2 linked regions of the Xenopus tropicalis genome follow. The protein of the gene in region 2 purifies or fractionates together with the protein of the main gene of each other region. This does not show direct contact. Links are inferred from orthologs where the notes say so. Each region holds a gene or a part of one and is shown on either strand. Other genes may lie near its edges.

The links.
Region 1: the proteins of pfn2 (region 2) and actb purify together in Homo sapiens (affinity purification with mass spectrometry; 3 studies listed by BioGRID and IntAct, counting the BioPlex papers as one, with this or other methods). This does not show direct contact. The link is inferred for Xenopus tropicalis from reciprocal best matches to the Homo sapiens genes PFN2 and ACTB.

What each region holds. Positions count from the first base shown.
Region 1 is NC_030685.2:46,572,530-46,577,237, forward strand, and holds the start of actb (actin, cytoplasmic 1), read right to left. Parts: upstream 3,015-4,708; 5' UTR 2,989-3,014; intron 1,954-2,988; 5' UTR 1,948-1,953; coding exon 1,825-1,947; intron 836-1,824; coding exon 596-835; intron 221-595; coding exon 1-220. UniProt on the Homo sapiens protein: Actin is a highly conserved protein that polymerizes to produce filaments that form cross-linked networks in the cytoplasm of cells.
Region 2 is NC_030681.2:118,614,941-118,619,394, forward strand, and holds the start of pfn2 (profilin-2), read left to right. Parts: upstream 1-1,315; 5' UTR 1,316-1,430; coding exon 1,431-1,562; intron 1,563-4,454. UniProt on the Homo sapiens protein: Binds to actin and affects the structure of the cytoskeleton. At high concentrations, profilin prevents the polymerization of actin, whereas it enhances it at low concentrations. By binding to PIP2, it inhibits the formation of IP3 and DG.

The DNA.
Region 1 (4,708 bases), on a different chromosome or scaffold from region 2:
CAGTGAGGATTTTCATGAGGTAGTCTGTCAGGTCACGTCCAGCCAAGTCCAGACGCAGAATGGCATGGGGTAGAGCATAACCTTCATATATTGGCACAGTGTGTGTTACACCATCACCTGAGTCCATGACAATACCAGTGGTACGACCAGATGCATACAGGGACAACACAGCTTGGATGGCAACATACATAGCTGGAGTGTTAAAGGTCTCAAACATGATCTGTAATGGTTGAAAAGGCAATTAGCACATTACCTGCATAAAGGCATCCAAAACTCATGCATGTGTAGTTTCAGAACAGCATTTGATTTTGCTGCACACAACACAAATTTAGGCAGGGCCAATGTGAGGAAAAACACAAGCAAAGTGAACTTTGAAAAACAAGCCATCATTCAGCACTTTTCACACAACGCTAACATTGTTAGTATTCTACCCTTGATGTAAAACAGGCAAATACTGAAAAAAAACCTTTGAGATTCCAGTAAACTTTGAGGCCAGGACAGCCCTGTAAGGAATAGCAATTATATAATTAAAAAACAAAAAACACAAAACAAAACCCACAACCCAAACCCTCACACCAGAAAACAGGTAACATACCTGCGTCATTTTCTCCCGGTTAGCTTTGGGATTCAAGGGTGCTTCTGTCAGCAGCACTGGGTGTTCCTCTGGGGCCACTCTGAGTTCATTGTAGAAGGTATGATGCCAGATCTTCTCCATATCATCCCAGTTAGTGACAATGCCATGCTCAATAGGATATTTGAGTGTAAGAATACCTCTTTTGCTTTGAGCTTCGTCTCCTACGTAGCTATCTTTCTGTCCCATTCCAACCATGACACCCTAAAATAAAGCGTAAGACAATTTGGACTAAATTAAGTAATTTAGTAAATGAAAAGCATGCCTTAATTCAATACTAGCCAGACAATGGAATGAATAAAGTGGATTTTCATGGACCTCACATAATGCAGACTTTAAGAGGAAATTCTAGAGTAAAAGCTCTTTTGGGCAGGGCCCTCTAATTTCGTAATACTTCCTGTCATCTTGTGCTTACAGGAAACAAGAGTATGCAAGAACATTTGCTATGTTAACCACGCCCCTGTGTATTTCACAAATAAACAGAAGTAGGCAATTTGCAAAGAATATGGAAATGTAGTGTGCAAAGTACAATATATATATCATATTAAATATCTATATACACACACTTAACCTGCACTTAATTAAAATATTTTTCCATTTAAATTAAACCACATTACACTCTGAAAAGAAATTCTTTTCATGCAGGGTTGGAAAATGTAACTGGCTTTAGCACTTACACAGCATAAGTCAATAAACAGGGTTTGTGTGGACAGTATAAAGAGTTTATTTTAAATATGCCTACTCCTAGTTTCAGCCTTGCCGAGAAGTGCCCAAAACCAGCTTAAAGGAATAACCGACACAAGCCTAGGGCACAAGAGTTGGGGGGTGCCCTAGGCACAGCTATTTATGTGATTATTCCTGCCTGCAGTGTTTATTTGAAAGAGTAAAAAAAAAAAAAAAAATAAAAAAAATTGCATCATCTTATGCAACACTTTTTGGAAACTATCCTTACGTGTATGGTTTAAAAACACTCAATGGCAAATATATTGTTACCAACATACCTATAACCCATGCAGAATTGCAGTTTTATTTGCCCCCAGATTAGTTTCACCTTTAACAGTTAAATACATAAAAAAAAAAAAAAAATGTTTTACCTCCTTGGGACAACACACTGATTTGTTAGAGGTGCTTTACTAGTTTTATTTCTAGGTTTTATTTAGACATGAAATGAAAAAGGCATGAAAAGGGCATACCTGATGTCTTGGGCGACCAACAATGGATGGGAAAACAGCACGGGGTGCATCATCACCTGCAAAGCCGGCTTTGCACATACCAGAACCATTGTCAACGACCAGTGCAGCAATATCGTCGTCCATTGTAATCTGAAATTTAAAAAATAAATAAAATTGAGATAATTATCCACCCAAATTATGAGCGCTGGTATATACCACAAGGACGCTTCCTGCCCATTACTTGCATTTCATAAGGTCTGTCACAAGAGGGCGCAGGGGTTTGCACCATTTCTGTACAGATTTAGACAAAGGGAAATCGATTTATTTTCTGTATTACCAAATAAGGCAACAGCAAAGATTTACACAAGCACCCCTCCCATCCAGCCATGGATAGTGAAGGTGTGGCAAAGAAACAAGTCACTGCTGGTATTAGGCAATCGAACCAACCGACTACCACTCCCAATGTTTCATGAAGGCAACACTACAGGACAGAATCACATACTGCAGGTGTGACTCCGTTTTTACCAGTGCAAGGACAAAATAAATATATAAGATGTAACTTGCGCTTTTGTATTCTAGTTACGGATATACATGCATATGGAAAGTCTAAACCGAAGCGGGAGAGAACTACCGCCAATATATTTTAGACAGCAAAAGGCTGTTCCGACACAGATTGCATCACACACTTATACACAATATGTAGCTTTGTGTGCAGCCTCACACTAACATCGGCAGGGAACCGCCCAATCGCACATCCCCAAGCGGCGCTGCTATTGGGGGCTCAGTTTACAGAAGAGGAAACGATACAAAAAAAAAACAAAACCCTATTTTTAAATGCAACTTACAAGTTAAACCTGCTGTAACAGAAAAATGGTTCCCCAGCTCTCCAGTATGTACAACCTACAACTTCCAGTGTCCTTTATCAATTAAGATCTAATTAAGCATATAAGGAACTGAACTTTAGCACAATTCCAGAACCAGGCTTCACGCTTGTCTACTAACAAGTCTTACCTTCAAGTAAATAACGCTACATTAAGCTACCAACTATTTCAAGCACATTATGAAAAACATAGCCAATTAGAACCAAATCATGCTTATTCTAATAATATATAGAGAAAAATAGGCGAATAGAAGCAGGAAATAGCAGAGGAAAAGCACAACAATAGCAGGCTCGGCGCTACTTGCCTGAGAGTACGACACACACACTGTCCTGTTTCTGTGCGGGCGGGTCACTGAGCAGTTGTCGGGCTAGGGCGCCGGTTTTATGCTGCGCGCCCCAGCCGGCTGCACCATATAAGGAGCGTTCCAGGAACTGGGAAGCTGATTGGCTGTAGGAACTGCGGGCGAAGGGGGCGCGTAGAGTGAGGCAGTTACACCTACTAGCTAGGATGCGGATACGTATATACACAGATACGTACATACATAGATATCAATATACATATATATGTTTCATTAAATCTACACTTAGATATACCACGCCTTATCCTTTCCATTAATTGCTGTATAATAAAGGGCGCGGTGCAGAACTCTTTCTTTTTATATTCTTTATTGGCCTGAAATGATTTACTCTCTTAAAACATGGCTTTGCAAAGCAGATAGTCTGCACGTTTATGTCTGCAGAAATGTCAGGACCAAATGCAGTTCGTTAGGATTTCTGCAGCCTGCCGAGACAGTAAGCTTTGTAACGTTACAGTGACGCACTGCATTGTGTTGCGTACAATCCATGAATACAGTGACTCGATTGCACTTCTTGTCTCTAGCGCCAGCATATTGTGATAGTGCCTAGTTATTTCTTCATGTATGGCTGTGTTGTAAGGGAAAGAAAAGTATCATTATAGCACATATTTCCTTATATAAACACTTTTAAATCGCCTTCCCTGCTCTGAGTCAGCGATACTGCTCTTTGTCCATACTTCCATTTCCTATGCAGGTCAACCATTTGTTATTTAACTTTACAGTTTACAGCTCTACAATGACCTCTGGTACTCATAAACGTATTTATTGGTTAAGCTGATACTGTCGAAGATCATCCGTCCCCCTGAGAATAAAATGCAACGTATGTAAGGAAAAAAAATCTAAACTAATCTAAAGTAAAACATTTGGAGCCCCATGCAGTAACTGGAATGTGAGCTCCCCAAGTAACCAACCCTCATATCAGCAAAGACCAAGTTTATCAGCAAAGTCTAAGTTTACTATGACTATGACCTTCCCTGCCAATCTCACTCATATGTTTTTTGAAGCCTGAAGAACATGCTTTTTCACCCAGGTGCAAAAAAAAAACAAAAGAATGCAAGGGTCAGCAAATTTAGACCCTCCTTTAAAATGGAAAGAATGAATGCCCCCCCAGCGAGGAGGCCTGAAGGGGCAGGTGTCTTAGGCCCTCTTCATCAGGTCTAGGGGAGTCCTATTTATCCCCTACCCTGAAGCCAAAAGTCCTACAACTGTAGTGGTCTATAGACTGTCCTTTACCTCAGCTAGATAGGATCCCTTCACAGTTGTGGTTTCACAAAAGCTAGGGGTAAAAGAGCTTAATAGCCAGATGTTAGAGCTGGAGACCTGATTGGCTCCAAACGTGAAATAAAAAGTTAAAGTGACAAAACAAAATTAGTAGATAAATATAAAAACATAAAAAGTGCTGCTTACAGCTCTGACCTTCTGGCAACAGTATAAAAATAGTCTTTGCTTAGCCAGACATGCAAAAGAGTTATTTTTAAAATTTTTAAGGACACGTCACGGGCCATATATATCACAATATTACTAAAAAAAGAGAGATATGTGTGTATACAATGTTTGCATGCAACGATTTGTAGTGCTTCCTAACTTCCCTGTTTCCAACTTGCCACTACTCAAAATGCTACATATTTTTAATTGATATAAGTTGCTTGAATGATGTTTACTTTTCAAA
Region 2 (4,454 bases):
GGAGGGCAAGGACCAGTGCGCTACTTGCCTCTGTTGCCATAGCAACAGGATGCAGCTATAGCATCAGCATCTTCAACCTGTGGCATTCCGGCTGATCATGTACATCATCAATGCTGTTGTTGGCATTATGGGAATTGTAGTTCCAACAGCTTTGGAAACTGACGTGCATGATCCTTAACTAGCTCTTAAATTCTCCAACATCTTTTCCTATGGTTTTTTTTTGCTTCCACCCACTCAGTTTCTATGCAGTATATAAAAACCCATCCTTTATATTCTTCTGCAATGCTCACACTGCGACCTTTCTCCCCCCTCCCCGCGCATTTGTGTGTCTCTGCATGTGTCCTGCCTTCTCCCTGCTCCTCCCCCTCTTTCCCTCCTCCTACCCTTGGCAGAGCAGATATAAATCATATCCATCACCTCCTCCCCTCCCCAAATAAGAGTATTAAAAAAGGTTCTGAAACAAAGGAGCCCTGCAGTGTCCCGCGACTCAAAGAAAAAAAAAGAATTCTGTGTGCCCAAAGCACAGCCAAGCAAAAGGGACTAGGGGTCCTGTCTGCATTAGCCTCACAGGGGGGGGGCAGCAAAGCCAGTGCTATTCACTCAGGCAAGGGGAGCCCATGCAGTGGCCCTCCAGCTGTTACTTCTCCATACCTGACAGTGATCAGCAACAACTGATTCACCTATTATTTTAGAGGATTTATCATAGCAAATGTGATAGACTACTGCGGGTAACTTTTTCAGCTGTATCAGTTAGCTAGCCCCTCAATATTCTGCATTACATCTATTTGAATAGAACCTTTGGTGCAATGTAGCCCACACACCATATACCTGTGTAAAAGCATATCCACATATTGAAGGTTGTCTTTTATCATTATTCTTTATTTATATAGTGCCACCACATTTCTGCAGTGCTTTAGTAATGATTCATCTTTCACATAAATGATTGGCCAAGTGGAGCTTACAATCTAATGTCCTTCTTCACACAGGATCTGATACACTATAGAGATCCTAATAGAACCTCTTGTTAGTGGAGGTTGTAGTCTCATGATGGAGGGGATGCAGGCTGTGAGGACACAAAGTGATCCCTGCATGGAGCTGCAATGGCCAATGCAATGCTGCTCCCTCACGCAGCCCCAGCTACTGCCCGTTAGAACAACGTGGTGGAGGTGTGCCAGTGTCCTTCCGCTGCTGGCGGAGGGATCTGCAAGTGGAGGCATTAGAAGGAGATAGGGGGAGGGGGACTACACCCGGGCGCTGCCCTATTTCCTTGGCTTCTGCTGGCTGTCTGAGCTCAGATTATCTCCGGCCGTGACGGAGCCGCTTCACCCCCCTTCCCCGTTACCGGCTACCCACACCCTATTCCCCCCGCAAGCTCTAGTGAGGAACCGTTATTTTGCAGCGTGACGACCCCCTTTCTACCCGCACTGAAGATGTCCGGCTGGCAGGATTACGTGGATATGCTGATGGCCGATGGCAGCTGCCAGGAGGCCGCCATTGTCGGTTACGTGGACGCCAAGTACGTCTGGGCAACGACTCCGGGGGGCATCTTTCAGATTATAACGGTAAGCGGAATGAGGATGCAGGAGACTGATTGCCGCTATGTGCTGCACCTGCCGCCTGGGGGCGGGACTTGCGTCTAACGGGCTCCGGCTGCACAAAGGGGCCACACGGGACGCGGCTTGTCTGTATCTGTGCCGGTAATTCTGCGCTCCCCTGGGGGGCAATGTGTGTGTATGGTGCTGCCCTACTGCATAGAGTGTGCAGAGCTTTCACTGGAGGCCATTAGTGACCCAGTGCAAGTGGCACCAGGCCCAGTGCTTTACCGCGACACGTCGCATGCGACTTTAGTATGTCAGCAGTATAGCCGTATATATGCATATTGTAATGCACTTATTATTCAGCCAATGTCCCCCGGGGGCACTGGCCTCGCATTGTCTTATTGGATTCACAGGGTTTTTGAGAGGAGGGCAAAAAGGGCATTTGAAGAAGGAACTCTGTATCAGGGTGGCCCTCTGGGGGAAGGAATGGAAATAAAAGTACAATAGACCTGTACTGAGTAATTGTGTTCTCTATATTTGTCTGTGATGTTCAGTCTCGGGTTGTAGTTCAGCAACAACAGAGGCTGGAGATCCCTGATCCATTTACCCACTGCTAACATTGGGGCCTCCTGTATGTTACTATGTATTCCTCTATGGCCAAGGGCCCTCTGTTCTCTAAATGGCAGTGGAAACTTCTATCCTTGTTCAAGGGCTATGGGCACAATCAGTGCAGCTATTTCCTATGGCCATTTTGCCTTTAGGGAAGGTGTGTGCTAAGTGCAGCCCTGTGCTGCTTCTCACTACACCACTGGCTCTTGCTTGATGCTGGGAGTTGTAGGAAAGGTCCATGTGATCTTCCCACTGTTAATCTGCTGCCTCTGGAATGCTAGTCTGTATCTGGGGGAACTCTGAATGAATGTATGTAGTACAGGGAGGAACAGCCTCTGTGCCCCTGGAAGCCTGAAGGTAGTAGCAGGAGGGCCGCAGCATGCCCATCTTTGGTGTAGGGTGAAATGTGTAGGATCAGGCCGGCGTGCCATTGACTCACCACAAGTCGTTTGCATAGCACCCAGCCGCTGTCGTGGATGAGATTTAAAGCACCTGACGTAAGCAGCTTTCGTGAATCCCAGCCCCCGCTTCTCTCTCCATATTCTTCTGCAAGATGGCGTGGTCCCATTGATTTTTTTTTTCTCCTCTGTCTCCCTAACATTTACATTTTTTAGTCTCCCTGCCCGACATCATTGCTGGGTACCTCTACCTTTTTTTCCCCCCTCTCGTAAGCATCGCTGTGTCGTTAAGATTTGTGCTTTAGGGGTGCTGAGATCTAATTGGGTAGCGCAATTAAAAATTCTGCTGCATTCACAATGGCATCCTGCTGAATGGGGGCTACATAATGCCGTCCTTAACTCTCTCATGGCTAGTGTAGAAGCCCAAGAAAGAGCCATTTGTTTTGTGATTTATACATTACAGCCAAATTCAGTCGGTCCTTGTTTAAGGCTTCACATTGCAGTTGCATTTTTATGTCACATATATTTCAAACCCAAGCTGAAGTATTTTGGCACGAAGCCCAAAAACTTTAAAAATCACGCTGGTTGGTGCTGAATGAATCTGCCAGTGTCTGTCATACCATTCCAGTTGTGGCATAGCCGATGAACAATCTGCTGGGCCTTAGAAAGCTCATATTGCACATTGGTGTCTGTATCGGGTTTTAATTGAGAGATTTTTCAAGTCATCAATATAAAGCAGTTATTCCACTTCCTCCTCTGAGAACTTGTGCAGAATAAGTTCTTCTATAGAGCCAACTTTAAATGAGTCAAATACTCAGAAATAATTAACTGTAGTTCGAAGCATTCTTCCAATACACAGTAAATCTTTTATTCATGTAGTTAGTTGGGACTTGTGATTTCTATTGAAAGAATCATTTTTCAGTGCGTTGCTATTTCTTGTCCTTGCTACTTTTACCATTGGAACAATGTAGCAAGTCAGCTCTTCCTTAGCCAAGATTATTATTCCCACTGGGAAATGGAGTCTTGGCTGGAGAAGAGCTGACTCTTGCTACATTGTTTCAGTGGTCCAAGGAGTCAGGACCAGCAGTGCAATAAATAGCAAGTGACAGGCTGTTTTTAATAGCCATTGCAATTCCATTTAACTGAAGATTTGAATTATTTTAATGTAAATTTGAGAGTTGGTGAACTTTTTCACTTTGCAATTTGTTAGTATTTGGCTGACATTTCCTTTTAATATCAGACTGCAAGATTGTGACATTAATTTGAGTGACAAATTTAGAGCAATAGTCTGATTAATACATCATCAGTCTGGTTAATAATACACTGATGTCTCATTTGGGTAAGAGTGTCTCAACTGGGGCTGAGCAGCAGCTATTGAACTGTAGCTCCTTGCATTGCTAATAGCAGAGATTTCAGGATCAGCAATACCCAGGGGCTGTGGGTGATACGCTACCTTTATTGATCACTTATGATTTATCTCTATGTAAGTACATCTGGAGAAGGGTTAATCACTGGCACGGCCACTGGTAATTTAGGATGATATCACAGAACAGAGTAGAATGTTAGCCCTTGGGGATCCTACGAGTAATATTTGAACAGTTGTTCAGTATGTTCAGTTAATTTATGGAATAACTTGGCTTGCTTTCAGCAGCAACTGCACATTTTATGATTCATACTTTTTATTTTTGTATTACCCTGGTCAGAATGATTGACAGGGCTGCTAGTGCCTATCATATGACACATTGGTGGCGGGCGTGCAAGTTGGATGGGTTGAATATAGAATATTTAGGCCTGGTGTGACTCTGCAGTTATTAAGCATTGGCAAAGTGCTGGGAGCTGCTGCTTTTTACTGCTGTGTAGCACAGCTTAACCCCTCTAGCTATTTTATTATGTTCCTTTATTTAGAATT